Saccharomyces cerevisiae S288C: one gene and its partner. The gene in region 2 interacts genetically with the main gene of each other region. Each region holds a gene or a part of one and is shown on either strand. Other genes may lie near its edges.

Evidence for each region. A genetic interaction does not mean that the proteins touch.
Region 1: mutations in YLR415C (region 2) and PEX18 together harm fitness more than expected from each alone (negative genetic interaction), as found in Saccharomyces cerevisiae (2 studies listed by BioGRID).

Annotation. Positions count from the first base shown.
Region 1 is NC_001140.6:416,649-421,807, forward strand, and holds PEX18 (Pex18p), read right to left. Parts: upstream 3,425-5,159; coding exon 2,573-3,424; downstream 1-2,572. Other genes in the region: KEL1 (Kel1p), read right to left, coding at 1-531; TDA11 (Tda11p), read left to right, coding at 901-2,415; YAP1801 (Yap1801p), read right to left, coding at 3,725-5,159. UniProt on the Saccharomyces cerevisiae protein: Involved in peroxisome biogenesis and the import of peroxisomal matrix proteins that contain the peroxisomal targeting sequence PTS2. Required for peroxisomal targeting of PEX7 and growth on oleate.
Region 2 is NC_001144.5:948,487-956,471, reverse strand, and holds YLR415C (uncharacterized protein), read left to right. Parts: upstream 1-1,874; coding exon 1,875-2,213; downstream 2,214-7,985. Other genes in the region: ESCRT-II subunit protein VPS36, read right to left, coding at 1-1,462; PUN1 (Pun1p), read left to right, coding at 2,328-3,119; INA1 (Ina1p), read right to left, coding at 3,289-5,316; YLR412C-A (uncharacterized protein), read left to right, coding at 5,999-6,205; BER1 (Ber1p), read right to left, coding at 7,280-7,985.

The DNA.
Region 1 (5,159 bases), on a different chromosome or scaffold from region 2:
AGCTTCACTTATGTCTATCGTTGTAGTGGAAAATCTGGTGGCATTATCGAAGGCCGTTAATATCCATGTATCGCCGTACACAGATTGGTCATGAAGTCCCCCAATAACATATATCTGGTTCTTGTCTGTAACATATGCTGAAGCAACATGTCTATAACGTGGAAAAGGAGAATTCTGTAACTTGATTCTATTCCATACGGTATATTCTCTCTGTTTTGAAAGCTGCTTATGGAGAGTAGTGGACGGTCCTGAGACATTTCGCTGTTGCGGTGGTACTGCGCTCGGTTGAATCCTTGATTCGGATACCTGTTTTCTGGCAAACATAGGTGGTGAACTAGTTTTATTAACATTAGAATGGTAACCTTGTGAAAATTGACGCCCTTTCTGAGGCGTTTCTTGTTTTGTGAAAAATTTTTCATTTGGAGGAGTTGACAGTGAAGCTTCTCTAGATTGGTCAGAGATAGAAGCATCAGAAGGCGTCTTTCCATGTTTCTTGTGAGTGAATTTCTTGGCGAAGCTGAATCCAGCCATGTTTGAGTTATTTTCTAGGTGCAAATTGAAGCAAACGGGCTCTAACTTTTCCTGAAAAATTACTGTGAATTTGTTAATAAGTGTAAGTATCACAAATCAAGCAAAACAATTACTTTATAGAACGAGCCCTGTTGCTTTTCTATATCTTATTGTTTCGTATTTTAAAGGAATGCTTGCTTGTAGTTTACTATCAACAACCGCGTCGCCAAGTCCCCAGAAGACGTGCCGCGTGATTCCAAAGGTGATGAAGGGTACAAGTTGTAAAGTTCAATATAATAGGTAAGGAAAAAGGCCAATACTAACTGTGCTTTTCTCAATTACCACTACATGGATCCGAGGATAATTAAATCTATCTCCTAGGGCACTGATATGAATAAATTTGACGAGTTTATAGAGTCTAATGAGAAGGATTTGGATGTGGACACCAGTACCCGAAATAGTATAATTTCGATGTCACCTGTGAGGAAAACTGGACGAAAGATTCGTTCTGCTAGTTCCAATGGATATAGGCTAGAACACCATCGTACGTCCAGTGCGGGAAGCATGCATTCGCAAAGACTAATGACGCCTACCAGATTAAATGACCAGGACCATCCCTTACAAGCCAAGCCAGATGCTAGGAGGGTGGTAACTCGTCATTCTTCTGTCTCAGTTCCAAATGCAATGAGCAAGAGAAGATCACTTATTCAACCCATGGTTGTTCCCACTACACCAGAATCTCAAAACAACTTACCTTCAGTAAGTCATTCTGAGGGATCCTATGGAATCCCATTAGAGTCAACCACTGTACTTTCTAGTGAGCAAGCGATGGCCAGCGGACTTCGACGGTCTAGAAATGGGAGTTCGCAGTCGGTTAATAGTATGATAGCGACCACCATACCAACAAATGGGGTCGATGTAAGTGCGCTTCTACAATCTCTCGCTACAAAAGAGTTAGAACTTCTGGAATGCAAACAAAAGATTGAAGATTTGAAAAAGCAAACCCAGCATGAAGAGCAAAACTATACTCGTCGGGCACGTGAACTGCATGAACTCAAGGAGCAAGTGAGTAAACATTTGGATCCCTCTCTAAATACACCTGTTAAAAACCGGGCTTTTTCACCGGTTTACCAGAATATACCTTTGGAATCACGAACTGAAAATGCTGGTAACAGCAGCCTTCCTAGTTCTGTCAGTAAACCAAAGAACATGGGTCATCAAAGTACTAATCAGTCAAGATCTGTGTCTCCGCAAGATATTCAAGAAAGGCGCCAAAGGGACGACTCGTCAGATTCATCCAAACAGTCACTTTGGAGCAAACCATTAGCTCTGTTTAATCAGTTTGATAAAATCATTCAGCATGAAATTGAAAGAACTCTGAATTGGGATGACTCTCTTTCAGGTACGCCTGAGGTACAGGAAGGGACACCGACTAGTAATAGCGAGTCGTCCGCGCAACAGTACGATAATGAAGCACCTGGAGCTCGCCAAAAATCTCCTTCGCAAGGATCAGTCTCCAGGTCGCTTTGGAGCTTTGTTAGCGATGTCAAGGCCGGATTACTCGGTATAGAAGAAGAAAACGATAATGATGTTATTACTGATAACAGATGTGATCCTGTATATAAAAGCGATAGACAGCATGAACAGAAAAAAAGTACACATAAAATTACGAACCGGGGGCAAGCAGAAGATAGTGGCGACGATTCTAGTTTAAACATGAGGAAATTTAAAACGACAACTAAGTTCCAGAAAGACAATGCTGGGAATAATAGTCTCACAGATGAAAGTGGACATCGAACACGAGAAAAAAAAAGTAAAAGAAGTAGTAACAAGCTAAGTTTTATTGGAGAACCCGATAATGATAATTCCTCCGTCAAAAACTCAGTTGAAATGACAGACTTCTAATTCCTTTTTCAAAATGACGTTTATTCTTCACTTGTCACTCTTTTTACGTATAGCTGTGAACGCAGTATGTAATTTAATACTGTTTTCTCTTGAAAGTGGTTAAAAAGTGTTATATATCTGAAATTCATGGTTTAAATTAAAGAAATTTCAAGGCCCGTTAAGCAATTCTGTCTTCAACATCATGGAACTCAAGACCAGCCCAGTTTCCTGAATTCTGAAAACAAAAACCTACGTGTTTTTGAAGGTTTCTTTCTGTACCGTTATCCTTCTTTAAAACTATAGAACCATCACTAATGCTGCCCATCAGCCCCATAAACTTTGAACTGTTTAGTCTTTCTTTTACATCTTTATTGGCACTATTATTATCGCAAAACTCAATTATATCGGAAGCCAAACCTTTCATGGCAGTTTCTTCATCTTCCAGACTCGTACCTGAATTTTCCTCTTCTGTATGGACATCTTCTTCCAAACTACTGGCTTCCAGTTCCGAAAATTCAGCATTAATTAAAGAATCAATGTGGCTGTTGATAGGATGTTCTAAACCTGTTGTCTTGAATATCTGATGGTCAACCACAGGGAAGGAAGCAATGTTAAAGTTTTTCTGTGAATAAAAGCCTAAGGGAAAATCTGTCTGAGATGTCCGTAGCCCGTTGTTTATATTAAGATTCGCGATTTGATTTTCGATGGGCGGTTCAACATTCTTAGGGAAGTTATATCTAAAATCCTTGGCCCAAGAAGTTTCATTGTCATTTAGATTTGGCGCTTCAAATTTGTAACTTTGATCCTCTAAGGTTCTAGGACGAATATTTACGTAGGACCGTGATTGATTCAAATCTTCTGAGTGTTGTAGAAATTTCAGCTCAATTTTATCCTTCAGAATCGGTGGTGAATTCAGTCTGCTCCCGATTTTGTTAAAAGAGAGCGTATTGTCCCTGCCCGTAAAAGGCCCCTTTTCTGTACTACTAATAAATTTATTCACCTCATTCGTTTGGCATCGGTTACTATTCATTGTTTGTATTTTATATCATTTGTCCATTGAAGTTTAGACAAGTATCAAATACCCAGTTTTCGTCTTTTCCCTTATATAGGTCGTCTCGGAAATAACAATATAAACTCCATGGTGCGGCGCTATCGAAATCTTTTGTTGGCGGGAGGAATTGAAGACAGTAAGATGTAAGTATTACATACTATAGGACAAATGCAAAATATGTACAAAATGGCAAAAATTACATAGCTCTTCCTTACAACTATATATAGCTATCCAAAGATGCACTTGAGTACTCCCTTACATACCTGATTATACTAGATATTACATATCAATTAAATTGAGGTTGTTAGCATATTGGTTTCCTAAAACTGGTTGCTGTGTTTGAGACTGTTCCGGTTGTGGTTGCTGTTGTGGATAGAAAGGGAAATTTTGAGGTTGAACTGTCCCAGTTATATTTGTAACAGGGTTGGCTCCTGCAGTTGCAGGCACATAATAACCCTGTTGTGGTTGCTGTTGTTGCTGTTGCTGTTGTTGCTGTTGCTGTTGTTGCTGTTGTTGGAGATGATTCTGAGTGTAGTGAGCCTGAAATTCCATTTTATCAAAACGCTGAGGAATATTCATCGATCCCTGCATGCTAGTAGGGGTTGTCATAACGCTATTGATCGAGCTCAAAGGCATTTTTTGTTGTTGAAATTGTTGTTGATTGTACGTTTGGTTTTGAAAAGGGTTACTTATTATCTGTTGTTGTAGCGGCATATTGGTATTTTGTTCATCAAAGTTTGGTCGTGAAAATGGGTTATTTAAGACATTTTCGTGTGCAGGATTCCCTGTTGCGATCGTCGCGGCGTTGTGCAATGCGAACGGGTTGTTAGAACCAGTTTGTGAATGAGAGACTTGTTGATTAGAAGCGGCAGTTGTATCCTGTGAAACGGAGTATCCTCCAAACCCTGCACCTGTAAATGTGGGTGTTAAATGGTTGTTAATCGAATAGTACCCCGTTTGTTGGGCACTTACGCCAGCATCTTGTACAGGGTTGAAGTTCACTGTGTGTTGGACCGCTGCATATTCAGGAACGTTTAAATTTGCGGGCTCTGTATGAGCGGTTGGTGTATTCATCACCTGTGGCTGAGTTTGAGATACAAATGGGTTATTTGCGATCTGTTGCGTTTGATTAGCCACAGCCATTGGAATGTTAGTATGCATAGAAGAGTCTGTTCCAAACGGGTTGTAAGATTGAGCCGCCGTGACAGTAGTTAGAGCAGGGGAAATCGCTACTTGTTCGTTTTTCAATTGTGCCTCTAGTATCCTTTTTTGTTCCCGGATTTGCTCCAACCTTTCCTGTGCAGTAGATTTGGCTACTACGGCCCCAGCACTTCCTTGAGAACTGTCAACGGGCACAAAAGTGTTGTGCGTCTTATCATCCTCTATCAGATGTTCTTCTAGCGATCTGACCAGTTTGGTAGTGATATGCTTGATGACGGGTATTTTCAAGCCCGCAGTCTTCCCGCTCTTCAAGTACCTGACAACGTGCTCGGTCAAATCAACAAACGTCTTGTACAGGTCTAGAGTTCTCTCTGCATTATGATGAGATAGTTCGAAAAAAGACTCCAGCAGAGTTATGATACCTTCGTTGAGAGCATTATATAGCGCTAGCAGGTCTTGAATAAGCAGCTTGAAACCAAATATGATCAATTCGTTACTCAAATCATATTGTGTATACTTGTTTTTAATCAGGGCTTGTATTTGTACCTCTAGG
Region 2 (7,985 bases):
TTACACATAATATTCTTTTGTTAACTTTCACTAACTTCAATTCATTTAGACCTAAATGCTCGAATCTTTCGCATGCTTCTCTCATTTCCATGGGAGATATCAGGCCTGTACCTATACGCATAGATTTGTTGTACATTGCATATAGATCTACCAGAGTTATGATCATATAGTTGGTATCACTGTTCAAATCTTTAAACTCGGACAACGTGAACTCGTAAATTTCTCTCGCAATCTCATCCAAGAACAGCTCTTTATTTAGGAACTTCTCTCTATCAAGTATCAATAGCGGTCTTCTCGTTTTCGGTTCATTCACGGTTGATTCATCCTGTAAGTTCAATGTCTTGGTTTTCATCGTTATGTTGCTATTTTTGTATAGTCTTTCGATGCTGGTAGCCAGCGACATTAGCTTGTTTAGGTCGGTCAACGCATTGTTAAAGAGAATGTCATTGTTCAAAAGCTGGTTTTCTCTAGATTTTTCCAAGCTTGATATGCCAATTCTGCTCAATTTAGTCTCAATAAATGGCACCTCATTGTTGTATTCGTGAGAACTAGCCCCTTTCCTCATGTCTACACCATTTACAGAAACCACATTCTGATTGAAAATATGCTTATTCTTTTCAGTGAGTATATTCTCCAAAGCCCTCTCTGTAGCTTGTGAAAACAATACGCCATCAGATTTGCGGAAACTCAATTGCACGAATTCTGTCGATGATCCTGTCGAGGACGAGGACGATAATGCCGAGTGCGAGCTCTTGTTTCTAGCCAGTGAATTTTTTTCTAGCTCAATATGGACCCTAGAATCATGAAAGTTTAGCCTGTTCAGCTTTGATCGTACTTTGGATGCATTAGGCAATCTGTGGCCGCAAATCTCGCAATTTCCTATTTGAGGATGATTAGCAAAAGTACAGGCGGGGCAAATGTTCTCAGAGTTCACTCCGAACTGATTCTGTGGGTTGGCGTTCGGGTCGATTGCATTAGAACAATTTATAGACGACTTGGTGAGCTCATAGTCCGCTGGCACACCGCAATTGATACAAATGGGTGTAGGTAGAGTGTCTTTAGTGAATTCCCCCTGCGTTTCGTTCGAAACCATACAGATGGGGCAGACCCACGTCGAAACAACGTCGGCACTTGCTGTTTCCGCACTTTTACCAAGTTCATCCTTACTGGAGGGGTCCTTGAAAAACAGGATCAGACGAGGTGATCTGGTCAAGAAGCCAGATGAATAGTTTACATACGCTAGATCGTCCAATTCCAACCCAAGCGAGTTCTGAGTGGGCTTTGCATCGTCGATGTAGATAATTCTTTGTGACGTTAAAAAGATTCTGCCCCTCTGTCGCTGTAGAATCTTAGATTTGCCATGGTAAAGACCTACGGACTGATCGATAAAGATATCTTTTTCACCTTCTCGAAGAAGAGGTTGGCCCGATGACGTAGTTTCCACATAATGCCAGTACTCCATCTTTTGAAAAAAAAAGAATGACTTTCAAAACACACTTCCTGATTCCTAGCCGAGGTCCCCTATTCTATCTTGGATGACCTTTTCTCTGCTTTTTTGTTTTTCAGTCTCCATCTTTTCCAGATGAAACATGTGAAACCCTTTTTCCTCTTCGTTGATCCTAAAAAAAGCGCGTCTGGAAAACAAGGCGAAGCTTCCTCACATGGAAAAGGCTTCTTAATATGTCGCTACGCCTCATTCCCATTGCATACAGAAAGCAAAGTAGTGCGTTTTGCGAACGTCACAGATCAAAAGTTTGGCCATGCATTGTCATTCTTTTTTTCTTACATACACTGCACCAGACATGTCGGTTCCGCCCCGCTAACGGTTAGTCAGCCACACATTGACGTACACTGTGAACAGCCTATTTCTTTCCATGTATCTCAGTGCCCAGCTTATGAGAACTGTCACAGCCTCCCACTTGACCCTCAGAGCCCTCTCCACTCCCCCCCTCTTTCAACATCGCCAGATAGCCGCCGTTGAATGGTGCGGGACAACCCGGCCTGGCCTGGCCAGGCAAAAAAGGACGCAGCACGCCTCGAGCGTTATTTCCAAATCGGGCGTACTATCAGCCAAGCCCAGCTCGGTATTTTTAGCGCTTCTCGCAGGAAAATTGGCTGAGAAGTATATATACGCGAGAATGTTGCTCTTCCATGTCTCAGTAGTCAATGAGTGTCCAGTGGTGTTTCATTCTGGACCAGTTGTTTGGAAGTAGAACTAAAAGAAACTAGATCAAGATCATACAACGCTGCGCAGTAGTGAAACTTGATTAAAGCAATAGAGAACTATTAAGAAAAAAACAAACACATCATCGAAGGACGCTATAAGCATGAGGAATTTTTTCACGTTATTTTTTGCAGCTATATTTTCGCTAGGAGCACTTATATTAGCCATTGTTGCATGCGCAGGATCAACGAAAAATTACAGTCCCATAAATAAAATTTACTGTGCAGAATTGGATCTGTCGCAGATGAAGGTATCGACGGTGCTCCCTTCTTTGAGTTCTGCTACGCTATCTTCGTTGGGCCTGCCCTCATATATAAATATAGGGCTTTGGTCGTACTGTACAGTGGACTCCTCGCATAACATCCAATCATGTTCTTCGCCTCACGGTATCCAGAATTTTAACCTATCGTCATTAGTGTATGACAATATCAACAACAATGAGGCTCTGGAGCTTATGGATTCCGTGGCCAGTGTTGTTTTGCCCGAAAAACTAAAAAGTAAAATGACATACTACAACAATTTGGTCAAGTGTATGTTCATTACCATTCTTATTGGTATTGTCTTGACCTTTGTGAATCTAGTGTTCAACGTATTGCGCTGGATCATCCACATAAGGCCGCTAACGTGGTTTGGTGCCTTTTTTTCATTTTTCGCCTTTGCCGCCCTATTAGTCAGTATAGGTTCGTGTTTGGGCACTTACTCATACATCAAATACATCCTAAAGCATAACTATAGTGATTACGGTATTTCAATGAGCATTGGTAGGAACTACCAGGGTTTGATGTGGGGGGCTGTCGTTGGAGCATTACTGAATTTCATTCTATGGTGTAGCGTGAGATCGAGGCCCACCGTCATCTATGCGAACGCTCCAATTGAGGAAAAACCATTGATTTGAATTTGAAAAAGGCAAGGTTATTAATTAATTTTTGTGTTCCGTTTCATATTAAATATGATTAAAATATATTGTCTATATACAATTCAGAAAATTATAATGAAGAAAATTAAAAGGATGGAGAATTGAAAAAATTTACGGGGTGATGTTGCATGATCTTCTTTTTATTATTTTACCTTGCAAAGTTTTTTTCAGCATCAATGGGGCTTTCGTGTTCTTCAATGATTCTTGAGGTAGTAGAGTCACTTTCTTGAACAGCTTTCTCAGCTTCCACGATGGCAGCTCCCTTTCTGCTGCTCCACCAGCAGTATGCAATGCAGAGAAATACAAGGACGGCAAATACAAATCCAGACCACATTAGGCCATAAAATGGAGAAGAGCCAGAAATAATGACATCGTAATTGTCCTTCTTGGAGCCGGATTTCATCATATTAAGGATGACGCTAAAGATTGTGCTTCCCAACCCGCTGAAAATACATATCCAACAGGAAATAAAGCCCAATGCCAACCATAATTTTTGACTCACCACGGAACGTCTACTTAGTAGCAACAAGAATACCATTAAGAAGAAGGATGTGATTATGCACATTAAGTTCATAGCTAAAGCTGCTTTCACTGCTGGGACATACATGTGTTGTCTGTCTTGTAATTCACCATCTAAATGCAAATCGTCCTTACCGATGTTCAGGGCATCCATATAAGGTTTAAAGTCCGAGCCTTCAATGTTGTTGTAAACAATCGACCGGAAATCCATGTTTTGAACAGCGTGTGACTTGCTACACGAGTACATTGTTCTGTTTAAGTGAGCACGACACATTGTGAAAATGGACAAACGGTATATGACAGGGATGTGTAGATATTCAAGGATAGAAGGAGTCATTTCCTTGAGTTGTTCTGGTGTGATAGTTGTCATGTTTACAGCAGAGTTTAAAATTTTCAACATGGGCATAAATGTAGCGGCATTAGTTTCTGCCCATTTGGTGATATTAACCAGAGAAGAGAAACTTGACACGGGGTCGCTTGACGCAGCTAATAGGCTGAACAAGTATGGAACGTACTTAAGTAATACGGTGTTATTGGCCAATTGGGATTCCAAAGTAGGGATTATGGAAACAACTGTGGATGCGTTAGCACTTGCAGAAAGGATTTCATCAAGTGCCACCAATTGGTTAGTAGAGGAAGCGGCTTCTTTAGAGAGGGCCAAACTTTCGACAGATGTTAGCAGCTCTGTTTGGTTTGTAGTGTAATTCAACAAGTCAGTCAAAGCACCCATGGCAGCTTTAGCGGAAGATGATTGGGTAATGTTTTCGGCAATCATAGTGCTCAATACGGATAATGTTACATTTTGAGATGTAGTTTCATCAAACAGAGTAACAACAGCTTGGACAGCTGGTTTTAAACTCGAAGGAACGAGGGAGCCTAATTGCATAATAGTTTCAGTAGCATTGCCACCTTCCGCAAGACTGGTTTTTAGACTAGAAAACAATGAGGAGACCGTTGAAGTTGGAATGGTAGAGTTCATTATGGTTTCTAACGCATCGCATGTGGCAGTAATGTTCTTGGAACTTGCGAATAACTCGAATACAGGCGACAATTTTGTCTTTTCTTCTGTGGTCATATTATTTAAAGTGATCAAAGACTCAGTAGTGCCTATAGGATTGGTCGAATCCACTAATAGGGTTAGAACAGTATTTTCTAAGGAAGCCGAAGTAGAAGAAGTGTTGGTTGACATAGATGACATCAATGTGCTAAACCCATCCAAGAGTTCGGTTGTGTTTTTAGAGGTAGTCAATAACTCATCAAGAGCGGAGAAGGTCGTGGTAGTAGCGGTATTGGTTCCTAGCAAAGCCATTGGAGCCAACTGTGTCAAAGATGATAATGTGGCTGAAGTGTTAGCAGCATTAGACAACAAGTGCAGTAAAGGAGACAAGGCTTCGGTAGAAGCGATTGCCTTAAGAGCGCCGAAGATGGTATCCACCGTTGTATTTGGAGCGGTTAGAGCAGAACCTAACACAGTCAAAATTGGGCCAACTTGTGGCATAACTTTTGTAACGTTGATTTTTGATATATCAGCATCACCGATATAAATGTTCGTTATTGGCTTATAATTTGAGGTAGAACCCGCAGTTGCAATAATGGTCAACAGAAATGTTGTAAGTGTCAATAAAGCACAAATCGGGAGGAGTATTTTAAAATTCATCGCAATAATTTGACTGTATTACTGAATTTTTATTTTACTGTATCAGCATCGCATCTACAAGCTATTATGAAGTAAATGAAAATCTCAAGGCTTAATGTGAGTAAATGCAGCTAGATTGTCAAAGGTTTATATATTTTGTCGTTCTTTTTACAGGAAAAAAAAATTCTGTGTAGAAGTGTAAGATCTATGATTGCAGCAGCTTGAAAAGCGATAAGTTTGTTGAGGATTTAACAATTTCAACTTTTTTTTTAAGCAGAACAATAGATTGACGTAGTTAAATTTGTCTACTAAGATCTGTAGGCAAGTTTTTTTTTTCCAGGGACGACGCCGTATAGAAAAAAGCAACTAGGGAATTTACCAGGCCATAATGCGGTGGATTCAAGCTAAACGAGTACTGAGGGGAACTTTAATCTTCAAGGCGGTATCCAGGCGGATTTACGAAGCAACTGACGGAGTGCTGCAGGAATTTAAAGGAGAGTTCTGGAGCGCTTAAATGCACCTAAACAGTATCCACGGAACATACTGTACTAAATACACGTCAAACGGGAACATTTCAAAAAAAACTTAATAATATAACTCAGTTTTTTTACATAGTGATAAAAGTGATATATTCAAGTCTTTTTACTATTTGCTAGGCATCCAAACCGTTTTGTTTAGACGTATCACTATTTTAGCATCACTTATGCATTTGTGCCAGAATGGACACTATTACAAACCCCACCGTGCCTCAGCTGAGAAGGTCCCTTACCTAAAGAAAAAGAAAAAGAATTCTCGAAACGAAGGCAAGGCAAAAAAAAAGAATGAAAAGAAAAAAATAGGAACTGTTGAATTTTTTCAACAAAAAAAAAAAGAAAAAAAACGGGTCCTAAATGCGGTGTGTGGGTTATAAGATGCCGCAAATGAAAGAATGCTATTTAGAGTAATCGATTATCATTCTTATTATAAGCTAAGTTGGTCAAGATGACCTGTTTGACCTAAAGACAAGCACTAACGCAGGCACCGCACTAGTACTTAAGTTTTCTTACGTGAAAAGGAAATATGGGTGATATGTGTCTGTTCCACTCATATCTTTTGGTTTCTAATTTTACGTAATCTCTTGTATTTTCTTGAGAGGGTAAATTTTCACGACGCGTCAGACGCTTATATGAGGGACGAAGTTACATATTTGAATGCATTAATCAAGAACAATATTGTTGAGTAAGCGAATAGCTACCATTGTTCGCAGTTCTAGGATCGCTAAACAGAAAAGGTTACTCTCCACGTGTTTAGAGGGCTACCCACAAACCGTCATAAATCATACCTCCTTCTTTGACGAGCGTATTGCGCCGTTCGAATGATTCATTCCGCCAAGAACTAAATGAACTTCAGGTTTGGGTCTTTCCACTTTCTTAACCCAACCATTCGTTTGCGTCCTTTTTGCCCCAACCTTGATCTTAAAAAATTGCAAGAAGAACTTTATTTATCAATTCGCCCGCGAAGTTAAAAAAAACCGATCTTCGCAGGCACTCGTTAGAACTTAGAAACAGTTCCTCTTAGGGCAAGCGCCCTTGTCGTATTTAGCCTTCTTTAAGTTGAGCTGTAACGTTGTTCGAGTCCGAGAAGTATCCTTGACAGGGACGATAACCATCAGCAGGAAAAACGGTATTTTCATTTATATCCTTTCCTCGAGGAGGGCTTGAATTATGCAATCTCTAAATACTATTCAATTCAGAGAGTAGATTTTTGTGGGCAAAGTAGACGTCGCTCTCTTTCAGTATACGTTCTTGAGCTTTCCATTTCAATGAACCGGCAACTAAGTTGGTATCCTTTCATGATCCTGTCGAGTACATTTATAACAATCATGTTGATTGTTCCAGTATCATAGATAAAGCGGTCTCGTGTCGTTATTGATGGTAAAGCGTCAGGTTACGATGCCCTGAAAGGTTACAGTTTAGTTATAAAGTACTATGTAGTGAATGATATGTTAGTACTCTATAGCATGTAACGTCAAGTCAGAGAAGGAATTGATCCAGGGTTTTTCCTTCAAATACTTTCCTTCATCAAAATCGGTGAGTATTTGGCAGGACTTAAACTTCGGTGCTATTGAATCATAGTCTATATCAGATGGTGTGACCTTGAGTTTAGAGGAGTTGTTTCTGTTTTTTCTTTTTCTCTTTGGAATGAATGTTGCAAAACCATCTACATCATGTGCTTTTTTAACTTCTGGCGGAGCGTTAGTCTGCAAGTAATGAACTAGCTTGCTTAAATTAGGATAGTTTTCACAAAGTTTTGCTTTGGTGTATCTATCGGTGTGTGATATCATATTATTTGCCAGCCATAAGTGTGGTCGCTGTGACGATAGTATGTTCTCAGTTAAATCCAAAGGAGCATGGGGAAGGAAATATAATACCGATTCATAATCAATTGCATCGTTCTCTGAAAATTCTTCCTCTATCAGCCATTTGCTTCCTAAACTTTTCAAGTACTGTATCTCTTCTTTAGTAAATATTGGATCATACAGGGAAACAACGACATCCCTTTCATCCTCACTTTTTATATAATCAGTAATCTCTAGGAGAAGAGCGAATTGGTACGTCGCAGGAAAATCCTCCTTGAAATTTCCAATTGCAACACATCGTATTTTCTTAATGTTATTGAGGTGCGGTTGTAAATTTTCAAGTAAATCTGAG